Nothobranchius furzeri: one gene and its partners. The protein of the gene in region 3 interacts with the protein of the main gene of each other region in a biochemical or structural test. Links are inferred from orthologs where the notes say so. Each region holds a gene or a part of one and is shown on either strand. Other genes may lie near its edges.

What was found.
Region 1: the proteins of fbxl17 (region 3) and kelch-like protein 12 form a complex in vitro, tested with the Homo sapiens proteins (3 studies listed by BioGRID, with this or other methods). The link is inferred for Nothobranchius furzeri from reciprocal best matches to the Homo sapiens genes FBXL17 and KLHL12.
Region 2: of the proteins of fbxl17 (region 3) and sufu, one has a biochemical effect on the other in vitro, tested with the Homo sapiens proteins (2 studies listed by BioGRID, with this or other methods). The link is inferred for Nothobranchius furzeri from reciprocal best matches to the Homo sapiens genes FBXL17 and SUFU.

What each region holds. Positions count from the first base shown.
Region 1 is NC_091755.1:52,034,727-52,038,632, reverse strand, and holds the end of kelch-like protein 12, read left to right. Parts: intron 1-1,338; coding exon 1,339-1,437; intron 1,438-1,570; coding exon 1,571-1,757; intron 1,758-2,430; coding exon 2,431-2,557; 3' UTR 2,558-3,286; downstream 3,287-3,906. UniProt on the Homo sapiens protein: Substrate-specific adapter of a BCR (BTB-CUL3-RBX1) E3 ubiquitin ligase complex that acts as a negative regulator of Wnt signaling pathway and ER-Golgi transport.
Region 2 is NC_091752.1:22,197,651-22,201,745, reverse strand, and holds the start of sufu (suppressor of fused homolog), read left to right. Parts: upstream 1-1,208; 5' UTR 1,209-1,289; exon of another isoform or gene 1,290-1,379; 5' UTR 1,380-1,407; coding exon 1,408-1,556; intron 1,557-2,516; exon of another isoform or gene 2,517-2,616; intron 2,617-3,041; coding exon 3,042-3,176; intron 3,177-3,394; coding exon 3,395-3,531; intron 3,532-4,095. UniProt on the Homo sapiens protein: Negative regulator in the hedgehog/smoothened signaling pathway. Down-regulates GLI1-mediated transactivation of target genes. Down-regulates GLI2-mediated transactivation of target genes. Part of a corepressor complex that acts on DNA-bound GLI1.
Region 3 is NC_091757.1:53,120,300-53,124,466, reverse strand, and holds the start of fbxl17 (F-box/LRR-repeat protein 17), read left to right. Parts: upstream 1-1,228; 5' UTR 1,229-1,428; intron 1,429-3,622; 5' UTR 3,623-3,642; coding exon 3,643-4,125; intron 4,126-4,167. Other genes in the region: prxl2c (peroxiredoxin-like 2C), read right to left, coding at 66-119, 207-275, 459-719. UniProt on the Homo sapiens protein: Substrate-recognition component of the SCF(FBXL17) E3 ubiquitin ligase complex, a key component of a quality control pathway required to ensure functional dimerization of BTB domain-containing proteins (dimerization quality control, DQC).

The DNA of each region.
Region 1 (3,906 bases), on a different chromosome or scaffold from region 3:
AACAATGATTCAAAAAAGTAAAACACCTAAAACCCAAGAAAAAGCTAGATAGCATAATGTAGGTGGTACATAAATAAAACATAGAATTTAAAACCAAACAATTAAAATAGGTAAGACACAAAATAGAAAGCCGAAAGCTGAGGACACACCCATTAGGAGGACTTCACTGGCTGAAAGCCAGTTTGAAGAGATGTGACTTCAGTTTTGATTTCAAATGCACAAGTGTCGAAGCCAGGCACACTTCCAGAGGGAGTGCGTTCTACAGCTTAGGAGCGGCAATGGCAAATGCCCGCTCACCGTGGGATGGATATTTCATTTTAGGAGTGCAGAGCAATTGATCTGTAGATTGTAGTGATCGGGAGGGGAGTTGGCAAGTGAGCAGCTCAGACAGGTAGTGGGGTGCGTGATCATTCAGAGCTTCATAAGTGAACAACAAAATTTTAAACTGCACTTGGTAGGTCACAGGAAAGTGTAGATCAGCCAAGGTGGGAATGATATGGCATCGTCTGCTTGTAGTTGTAAGGAATCGTGCAGCAGCATTTTAGACTTTCTTTAAGCAGTTAACAGAGGCACCAACAAGGACTGAATATGCATAGTCAAGTTTTGAGATGATAAACACGTGAATAACCTATTCCAGGTGTGGTCTTCTAAGGATGGGTTTTTAGCGTGTCAAGACATCACAGTTGGAAAAAAGACCTCACAGTAGCATTTATCTGTGGGGTCATTGATATGTCTGCATCTAGTTTGACCCAGAGGTTGGTCGCACAGGATTAGAGATTCATGCAGGTGTGGCAAGGTGGAGAAACGAGGGCTCGAGCAGGATTTCGATCCCCAGACTCGCGGGTGAGAATCACGCACGCTAACAAGCCAACCAAAAGGATATTCCCGTGGCCAAGTTGCCAGGGCGCATGATCAATCGGGATACAGTGACAGGAGGTCACCCTGTAACACGGGAGATCAAGAGTTGAAAATTCATGCAGGTTCCTATTTTTTTTGGTTTAAAGAGAATGGCCTCAGTCTTATCATCATTAAGCCAGAGCAAGTTGAAAGCAATCCAGGCCTTAACATCAGAGAGACAAGAAGTAGATTAATGGAACCAGTTTGATCTAAGGCTAGTTAAGCCTGACAGCCATCAGTATAGAAGTAATAGTGCAAACCAGTTTTCACTAAAATATTGCCGAGAGGGAGAATATAGACAGTGAAGAGGGGTGGACCTAGGATTAAACCCTGAGGTACTCCCCAGGAAAGCAGGATGAAGACAGACATGTTTTAATTGCTCTGGCTATTCCACATTAATATTAATGTGTAGTGATTATATCACAATGCTTCACCCTGCAGGTGGATATGATGGTCTAAATATTTTGAATTCAGTGGAGCGGTACGACCCGCACACAGGACACTGGACCAGTGTGACGCCCATGGCTACGAAACGATCAGGTGAATCTGAAAACCGCTGTGTGTGTGTGTGTGTGTGTGTGTGTGTGTGTGTGTGTGTGTGTGTGTGTGTGTGTGTGTGTGTACGCGCGCGCGCTTGTGTGCATGCTACTCTGACCCTAACCGTTGTGTTCAGGAGCTGGTGTGGCTTTACTCAATGACCACATTTATGTGGTGGGGGGGTTTGATGGAGTTTCTCACCTGGACTCGGTGGAGGTGTACAACATCCGAACAGACTACTGGACCACTGTGGCCAGTATGACCACTCCTCGGTGTTACGTAGGAGCAACCGTCCTCCGAGGACGACTCTACGCCATCGCAGGGTGAGAATGAGCATCCTTCTCTCTGTATCTGATGTTTGACCTCTGACCTGTTAGAGCTGAGACGGAAGGATTAGCACTGCATGGTCATGCTAATTTGAAAATGATCGAACCTGGGCTATAAGTGGTAAGAGTTTATTATTATGCAAATGTTGAAGGAAAAAGTCGATGAACAATGAGATGTTTTAATTCCAACAGAGATTAACGGATGAAGTGATGCTGGCTGTGGCTGGAAAGCACCTAGATGCTGTTGCACTCAACTTCTCTGTTTAATTTCTGTAAAGCAGCCTTGGGACAGTTTTGTGACCAAATTGTGAATACGGGAACAAATGGAACCACAAATTGAGGCATTTTGCTACATGTATATTTGCACTAGTTTTCCAGTTTATCTGTCAGTGATCGATGAGAGTCAGGATCCCTTCAAGTTCCAACTGAATGTTTGCATGTATTTTTTTTTTCAGGCATATTTTAATCATTAATACAGAAATTTTTCATCCTTTTACAAATACAGTGATTGTGTGAGACTCAAGAAGATGCATCATATTTATTTAGACATTTAGCTCATTGCTGTGATACAACAGAGTGGTTATGTGTTGGGTTCTGCCTTCATTCACACAGGTGTGTGTGTGTGTGTGTGTTCTGGTGCGGCTCACTGCTCACTCTCTGTTTTCTCCAGATATGACGGAAACTCTCTCCTCAGCAGTATTGAATGTTATGACCCAGTTATTGACTCCTGGGAGGTCGTCACATCGATGGCGACCCAGCGATGTGACGCAGGCGTCTGCGTTCTGCGAGAAAAATGATGTTCTGCAAGAGCAAGAACCACAAGAAGAAAAGGACAGGCAGCTAGACTTTTGCTAAAATGCCGCTAAATTAAACCACAAAGGAAGACGTTTTTGTGCCAGTATGCAAAGATACTCCTAAAGGGGAAAAAAGGTGACGTGCAGCAGTTTGGGCTTTTTCCTCTGAAGGTTAGTTCACCTTTTGTCAGTGCGCTGCAGAGCCTCAGCCTCGCCGTGGTCAACCACACTTCACTTCCAAGGAGCCCATCACCACTTGCATGACTCTTCAGTGGTGTCTGTTGTTACCTGTGAGATTATTTTTTCAGTTTGTCTTCAAAGTGCAATATATTTTTACTCATCAACAAAAAAGGATGGAGCAGGTTTAGGCTCCCCTTGCTGCTAAATGCCTTATGACTTTGGCCTATCATCCACCAGTGGACGTTCATGATGCCGCCCATGAGAATGATGGTTAAGTGAACTGATGTGCCATTTGCAGGCTCTTTAATGGGTCAGTAGTTCACTCCCCTCTTTTGTAACTCATTGTGATAATGGTACTTTTAGATAGAAATCACTTTAACACAAAAGGTTTATTACTAAAGATATATTTCAAGAAGAATATTGTTTTAGAAATTGACTTACATGTACAATCCGATGATTTTTCCTCTCCTATTTGGCAAAACTGAGGGATGCATGAAGCCCCTCCCCCTCCAAACACACACACACACACACACTAACATCATTGTTTTTTGGGAAATTCAATAAAAAAAAAACTCTGAGAAACCGGTTATCTAATCAGCTTCTTCAGTCTAGTCAGCTCTCAAAGTGCAATCCAGTTCTTACACTTAAACCAGTTAGAGTTTTGGTTTAATAGACAAAACTAGTGAAAACAAAATGATTTTACATTTCAAAAATATCAGTCCAGCACTTTGTTTTCCACTTAAGTTTGGATTATTCTTTTGGTTTTGGAAAGATTACAGAAAGGTCAAATAATTAACTTGGTTAGGTTAGGTTAAAAACGTTACTGTTTTACCAAACCTGAATAAATTCTTACCAGCTGTGGTGGTCAGATTTTTAGTTTGGTACCAAGGTGTAAAATTGTTTTCCCAGCTGAGTTCAGTTCAATAACTTTGGTACAAAGTTCAAAAAGTGTCTTTTTCCCAGTCGGAACACTTGAGATGATTTATGAAATAAAGACATGAGGAGAAAAACACAAACTTCGGTTACATAAATTAGAATTGATAGATTTAAGGTTCTAGAATCATTTAATTGCAGGACAAATGTACTTCAGATCTTTTTGTGTGTTTCTACAAAAACATAATGATCAGTATCTTACATCCTGTAGATTGCTCTTTGAACAGCCTCAGGCAAGG
Region 2 (4,095 bases), on a different chromosome or scaffold from region 3:
ATCCTCCTGTTCCCAGGCCATAATGATCAAAATTCAAATTTTTTTTCTTTCACTGTGATCCACGACAGTTTTTAAAATTACTTCTGTTTTTGTACCAGAACAATATAGTTATTATATAGTTGAGCCACAGTGGAAACTTTGTAAAATATGTAAACTACATTAAAATGCACCAAAAATATAAATGTGAAGAAACGTCACATTAATACTGTGTTTTTTTCACAATACTGTCTACAGAACTTTGTAAAATAGATTAGCCTATACACAATAATGATTTAGGAAACAGATATAGATGTACATGAATATAGAAGTGATTTTATTATCACTGTTGTGACCCGGAATGTCATCTGTATGTTTATATGATGTTCATTTAATTTTTTGTATGTAACTGTCTTGATGTTATAAAATAAAACAACTAATAAAGAACAAATTATCATGCAGTTGTCTTCATTGAGTTCTGGACAATAATTAAGTAAAACCCCAAGCTTATTTATAGTTCCATGCTATATGGAGCAGATATTTAGGCGTTGTTGTTTAATGCAATTCAACAAATGCCCAGCTTTATGGTTGTGGTAGTTTTTTTAAATGGTGGTTTTGCCAAATGTATATCAGTGAGTGCAGCCGGCCTTCATGACACATTCACTTCAGTTTTATATTTGATTTAGTTATTTAAGTATTGTGATGATTTGTTGGTTACAAAGCACAAAGAAATGTGAAGAGAACAAGTTCTTAAAAAGACTACATGAACCCAAACAAAACCAGACATGCAATTGTTTGAGTTTACTATTTATAAGGAATGAGTCATAGTTTTAGAAAAAAACAGCCCATTAATGCTGTTCACAAAAGTTTTACTTCCTGGCATAACCTTGTGAAACATAGTTTTATATTAGTTTAGTTATATATTTCTTAAAATCTAAGCTGTAACATTAGTTCATTTATTTATTTATTTTAGTCTTTTGAAATTTCATCTCAGACGTTTCAATGGAAAACACTTTGCTGCGTATTTTAACACCATATGTTTTCAAAAATGAAACTCTAAAATTATGTTATCATCTGCCCCCTGAGAAACTTCTGAATTATGAGGACCCAACCCTGAACATATACCCGCCTTCTTACAACCACTCAGCCAATCACAGTCATGTTTAAATCCATATTTCATTGTCATTGGCTAACAACACCATTCACTCAATGACGTTTACACCGGCCCAACCAATAGTTGAACAATTGAATGCTCCCTTTTCTCTATTTTGTGTACCAGGACGAGCAACAGGCTCCAACAACGTTTTAGCACAGTAATCTATTTCTGGTTACACAATTCGTTTGTGAAGCATTCATGTAGGTGAACAAGTTAACTAAACGGATTATACGTTGTTTCTTTATAGAAAAAAGTGACTTGTTCGAGGCCCTGGCATGGATGAAGTACGGCCTACCAGTGGTGCCCCAGCCCACGGGCTGGTGCCGCTGTTTCCTCCGGGACTACAGGCTATCTATGGAGAATGTCGGCGACTTTACCCCGAGCAGGCCAACCCTCTGCAAGTTACTGCCATTGTTAAGTATTGGTATGTAACATGTTTTGTTTTTGCTGGTATAATTATGCCTGCGTGAAGTTTGTGAATGCGTTTATTTAGCTTTAGCTAAATGCTAGCCTTCAGTTAGCTTAGCCTACGTGCTAACGTAAACAGTTTTGCTAACTTTCTAAACGATCGTGTGGCCAAAAAAAACTGCTCACGCTATATGTGTCCCTTACAAAACACGATACAAGCACAGCAATATTCAAAAGACAACCTAATAAAATAATACGTATACAGAAAATTTGACGTTATAATTCTTAACTGATTTATTGTCAAATATTCAGTATCTTATAATTCTACAGTAATACTTTTAGCATGGTGTTTGAAGAATAAACCTATCTAGGATAATATGTAGATTTCACCTGAACTCTACATGAAGTATTACACTTTAATCCCCAGAATCTCCGGAAAGAGGAAAATTGGGGTGAGGCAACCTATAACGTTGTTTTTTCAGTATAAAACAAGAAAATATGAAATGCAATCTTCATTATCACATTAGACTGTTTTAAATAGGATTTGATATTTGCTCAGTAGTTGTGCTGAGGGTAGAGGTCTTATTCTTAACCCATTTATGATGGAAACTCATATTTAAGCAGTTTTTAAAATGTTGCCAGGGACATTTAATAGATCAAAGAAAGCAAATATTTTATATTTCCATTCCTAGAAGTACAATTCAATTCAAAAATACTTTATTAATCCCAGAGGGAAATTGATTGCTGTAGTAGCTCAGAATAATAATAATAATCAAGTCATCAAAGAGTTGTTGTATATTACAATGGCTGTTGGCAGGAAGGATCTCCACTAGTGATTACTGTTGCAGAGAAACTGAAGAAGCCTCTGACTGAAGACACTCTTCCGTTGTCGGACAGTCTTGTGAAGAGAATGCTCAGGGTTGTCCATAATTTTCTTGATTCTCTGGAGAATCCTTCTTTGCATTATCTCCTCCAGTGGTTCCGAAACTGCAGAAACTCTGGCTGAGTCGTTGAAAGGACCTCCATCTTGTTGGCCAGTGATCTCACATTGCCCATTATGATCAATGGAAGAGATGGTTTGAATTTCCTCTTTCTCCGTTTCCGTTTTGCTCCCGCTCTGCACCCACGCTTCTTGCGTTTTAGCTCATTTGGGATTTGTGGCTTCAGTTGAGGTATTATTTCAGCCTTTCCAATGTTAATCAGCTGCTCCCGATTGTAAACTAGCTTGTTGCCATGGTTACACATCATAACAAATGCTCAAAAAGGGAAAAAAGCTATAAAAAAACGAAGGCTTGAATAATATTATATGTTGTGATGATGATGTTATGATTTAAACAATATTTTCAATAAACTTTAGATGCTTCAGCTAACATCTGTTATCCAGTATCAAACAAGTCAAGCAAGAACTAAATATGAAAACAAAAACTAGCAAGTAATTTTACGCCCCACATGCTAACTAAGTGCTCTATGACTGATGGTTTGCATTTTGCTCTTTTAACAGGCTTGGTGGACCAGACCCTTTAGACTACATCAGCATGTACAGGAACATGGGCTGTCCAGCCCAGGACGTCCAGGAGCATTGGCACTATGTTAGCTTTGGCCTGAGTGACCTTTATGGAGACAATCGTGTTCACGAGTGAGTGAAGGAAAAGTTTTATTATTTTCTAATATGACAAGCCACTTTGTGTAAAAAATATGTAAATTTCTAGTTAATTTAGTTAAAAAGTGGGGTGTCACCAGTCAGTCGGATAAATATTTGCACTATACACCTTTTACAGTGAAACCTTCAACACCACATGCAAAAACCACTGATCTTACTGGCTCATGCTCAGTGTTGCCTCACCGTTCTTGCAGATTTACTGGAGCAGATGGACCCAGTGGGTTTGGGTTTGAGCTCACTTTTAGACTCAAAAGAGAGGCGGGAGAGACGGCACCTCCAACGTGGCCAGCTGAACTCATGCAAGGCTTGGCTCGCTATGTGTTCCAGTCAGGTAAGATTAAATGGTCATCTTTTAGCAAATCTGCAGTGATTGACCTTGGAGAAAAAAATTTGTTTTTTTATTTATTTATTTTTGCCTTTTTTCTTTTTGATTAACTTTTAATGTTCAAGAATTGTTTTTATTCAGTCATGCATCCTCTAGGATAACTGAGAGTGTTGATCGATTCAGCCACAGTTTATAGATCATCTACTGCATGTTTGTGTTTTGCCACCACAGCAGGATGTTGTAAATTTAAAGGTCATGCTTTTTGTGCATGCTGCTTGCAGTTACAGTATTTTGACATCATAGCTGAATAGAAGTCAAGGCAGTTTCATTTGTATAGCACATTTCATGCACAGTGGCAATTTAATGTGCATTCCAATAGGGAGAACATTAAAATTTAAGATTTTTATTTAAAAGTTTCTAGAGTTGGGGCACATTTGAGGTCACAAAGAAGCTGGGTCCATCTGTTTGCAGCATAGTAGCTAAAAGCAGCTTCACCCTGTTTGGTTCTGACCCACAGTTCTACAAGCTGACTGTTTCCTAAGGATCTCAGAGCTCTGCTGGGCGTATAGG
Region 3 (4,167 bases):
AGATTTCAAACATGCATTCATTTAAATCAATAAAAATATTAAATTAAATACAAAAACTAACTCACCTCTATATGATGATAAGAAGACTGACCAATCACAACCAGTCTGATTCCTGCAACCTGCAAAGTCACGTGCATGAGGAATTTCTGAATAATAAAACAGCTATAAACATTATAAACATTTGGTTTGCAGCTTAGAAAACTCACCTCCAGAGCTTCTCTTGGTACTTTGCTCAAATCATCAACATACTCTTTGCAGCTGTAACACAAGAAGTTCTGCAGGAACGGAGAGAAGTAACAATCAAAGGAACTTTTCTGTCCACCAGAAGTTTTTTAAATACCGCATCAAAAGTTCATTTGATGCATAGCATATATTAAAACAAACCTGTGCTTAAATTGTTCATTTAAATGCAATTAATCAACAGCACAAAACCTAATGAAGAACTTTTTGTTTCCTACCCGCACGAAAACGATGACCGATTTCCTGTCCTGATATAAACCTTTGAAAGGGAAAGAGTTTCCGTGTCGGTCGTGAATTAAACAATCTTCTACTTCTTTGAGATTAAGATCGACTCTTCTGGTTTCTTTTCCCCAGCGCTCCCTGCGAACTTGTTGGGTAATTGGTGAAACGACTTCAGCCATGTTTCCTGGAGCTTCCCAGCACGCAGCGCTATTTTTGGGAGTTGCCTTCACGGCTGGAGGAACAAGCAGCTGATTCATGCCCACAAGCTGCAGGGCGTGTGTGTGTGTGTGTGTGTATGTGTGCGCGCGCGCGTGTGCAAGAAATGGCCTTTCTAGTTGTTTTTCTTTTACATTAGTAGGATCATGAATACTACACCAAACATGTTTGTTACACCAGAAATATGAGTATGACTGACGCTTATTATTGAAAAGGTAATGCATCACAAAGTGAAACGTAGATTTAACAAATATTCCTGAACAGTACTCTTAGAACTCAGTGTAAGTTATATTCCTTGAGAAATTCTTTATCAGAGTGATCTAAAACCCTGAAACGATTTAGAAAATGTGACTTATTTATTACAAAGAAAACTTTATTTAGAGGAACACTGTGGATAATTTAGCTGGGGGAGTTTGCAGGTGACATTTAGGAATTCTAATTGATCATTTTGTAGGGATAAAGTTGCAAGATAACTGTTAAAAATGCGTTTCGAACATAAATAACCGACGCTCGTTCTGTTCCCATGACGAATTGAAAAACTCCCTCGTCGGCTTCCGTCGTTCTGCCCTCGCGCTGCGGAAGTGCTGCACAGAAGCCCAGTGCTGTTTGGATTAAGACCGCAGCGGCTCGATTCCAGGTCTCCCCGTGGCCGTATCTCTTCCTTCGGGACCTGTCAGCGCTGGTTTTGGACGTTTACTACAGCGGTATTATGCGAGCATCGTTCGGAGTGTGGCCGCAGCGTGTGAAGTGGTGAGAGCTACAGCTAACTTAAACTTAGCATCTGATGATGACTGGCCTATCAGAACACACCGTTAGGATCTTTTTTCCCCAGTGGTTTCAACTGACAGGATAACTGTGAGTCAATATCGGACATAAACCCGCAGAGAGCTCGGGTACAATTCTAAACCGGATGTTTTAGACTGCGTTTGTGTGTTTGCGCAAGCTAAACAAACGACCACCTGTTCACTGTTTACATCTTTGTGTTTTCCTTCGACAACAAACAGACGAGACATCTCTGCAGATGTTTCTGCTGATGATCAGCTGAAAGTTAGCCGTTGACAACAACGTTTGCTTATTTTATGACGAGGAAAATAGTTGCTCTAAGCTTCCTCATAGATTTTTAGGATCTGCTCTGTCGTTCTTTGCATAACTGTGCAAACATTGACAGTTTAAAAATATTTTGCATCAAATCAGACATTTTGTAATTATTTACAATAGATAAGCAAGATTTCTTCAGGAAATTTCAAATGTCCTTCATTTGGACTGACTTCTCTCATTTTCTGATAATTTTAACAAAATGTCTTTCTTTTTGTTAAGCCATTTGTGTGAAATCTATTTTATTATATTTTCATAGTTTGTCATCCAGAATTAGTTTAAATTTTTTCTGTTTTAATTTTTTTTAGAACAGCCGACTTTAGATAAACAAATGCAGAAAAATATAACAAAAACATGTGGTGGTAAACAGGTTTTTAAGAGGGCATTAAAATTAATTTCATAAGGCCCTAGATAATGCGCAGAACCCTCAAGCTCCCAGGCCACTGATAGAAGAACTGAGATTGGAAGGATGAGACTACCCGCAGAGGGTGAGATGGGAATTAAAAAATAATAATTATATAACATAAAAACAACATTTAATCAGTATTAAATAGTTCATTCTCGACAGCTGTCGAAAAGACAAATTTTTTCAGATTTCTTGAATACAGTTCATGTAAAAAATCCAAATGTAGCACATACCACCTAAAATAGTTAAATTGTATGTTAACAAGGTGATGCCCAGTGAGCTGTCTGCTGACGTACACCCCCGTCACCACTGTGGACTCCTTCCGCTTCCTCGGAACCACCATCACACATGACCTTAGGTGGGAGCCATCCATCAGCTCCCTGATCAAAAAGGCCCAGCAGAGGATGTACTTTCTGCGGCAGTTGAAAAAGGCCAAGCTGCCGGCCCAGATGATGGTGCAGTTTTACACGGCCATCATTGAGTCCATCCTCACCTCCTACATCGCTGTGTGGTACGCTGGAGCCACAGTGAGGGACAAACATAGACTGCAGCGCATTGTGCGCTCTGATGAGAAGGTGATTGGCTGCAGCCTTCCATCTCTCCAGGACCTGTACGTCTCCAGAACTCGGGGGCGTGCAGGTCGGATAGCAGCTGACCCTTCGCACCCGGGTCACAGACTTTTTGAGCCGCTTCCCTCAGGCAGGAGGTTACGGTCCATCCGGACCAGAACCTTTCACCATAAGAACAGCTTCTTTCCATCTGCCGTTAGACTTGTGAATAGATTATAAACACACAACCATGCTCGTCTTCTGTACTCGACACAAAGATACGTTATCGGCCATGTTACCATTACCTGCCATTTTTTATCGCTGAAAGTTTTATTCGTTTTTTTTTATTCTATTTTATTCTATTTTTAATCTTATTATTCATGTTATATGGAGCACATTCGTACCGAAGCAAGTTCCTAGTTTGTGAATTGTTTGTTCACTGACAATGGCAATAAACCTATTCTGATTCTGATTCTGAAAAGTGACATACAGCAGTTAATCAATCTCTCTGGTCCTGTTTCAGACCTTCGCTGAATTTGTACTATTTCTTCAAGAAATTCTTTCAAATTCTGTTCGGCTGGTTTGCTGTCATTTATTCACACTCTAAATCACGCTGTCATTGGAAATTAGGGAAAAAGCAGCAGAAGTCTAAAGAATACACTTCTATAATTAACAAAAGTTGTTTAACAACATGACAATGAATGCTTTGCTCTTTGGAAGCTACATATATAAAAATAAATGTAGTTTAGGACTTCTGCATTGTATGCTTACTGTCTGCCAGAAATTTAATGGCTTCATTTTTTTTTTACTAATGAGGCATATTTTAATTTAGATTTTGGTGTAACGAGACATGATTTACGGTCATTTTCTAACAAATGCATTCTTGATCTTCTAGAGTTTCGTTGAGTCATCTATATGGGCCATCTTCTCTCCAAAAATGGTTTACGCCTGAAGAAGAGGACACGCAAACTGAATCACAGGAAGAAGAAGAGGAGAAACTGTTTTCTGCGGGGGCCCTGCATGCTCTGCTTCATCATCCACAGCAACAACCGTGATCTCGACGAAGACAGCGACCAGCTGGAAGCCGGTGTCAACGGGTGCCGTCACAACAGCGTTGCTGGAATCGGTGTCCCCGGTGTTTGCGGAGGTGGCATCAGCGCGTCGGCCGCTTCCAAGCTCGCTGAGCGATACGCAGCACTCGCATCTCCTGAGGACTGCTCCAAGTTCTTGCTGTCGCAGAGAGAACTCGCTATCTGGGAAGGCCAGGGGAGGAGTCTTCTGTCGGCGGTTCCTGCTAAACTAATTCCACCACCGGTGCTTTTCCGGACTGCCGGTGTGTCTGTGACTGTGCCCATTCCTCTGCCTGTGCCCACCTGCGCCAACGACTGCTCTGAGATGGTAAGCATGAGCACTCATAAACACTCCAGCTGGTGAAGGTTC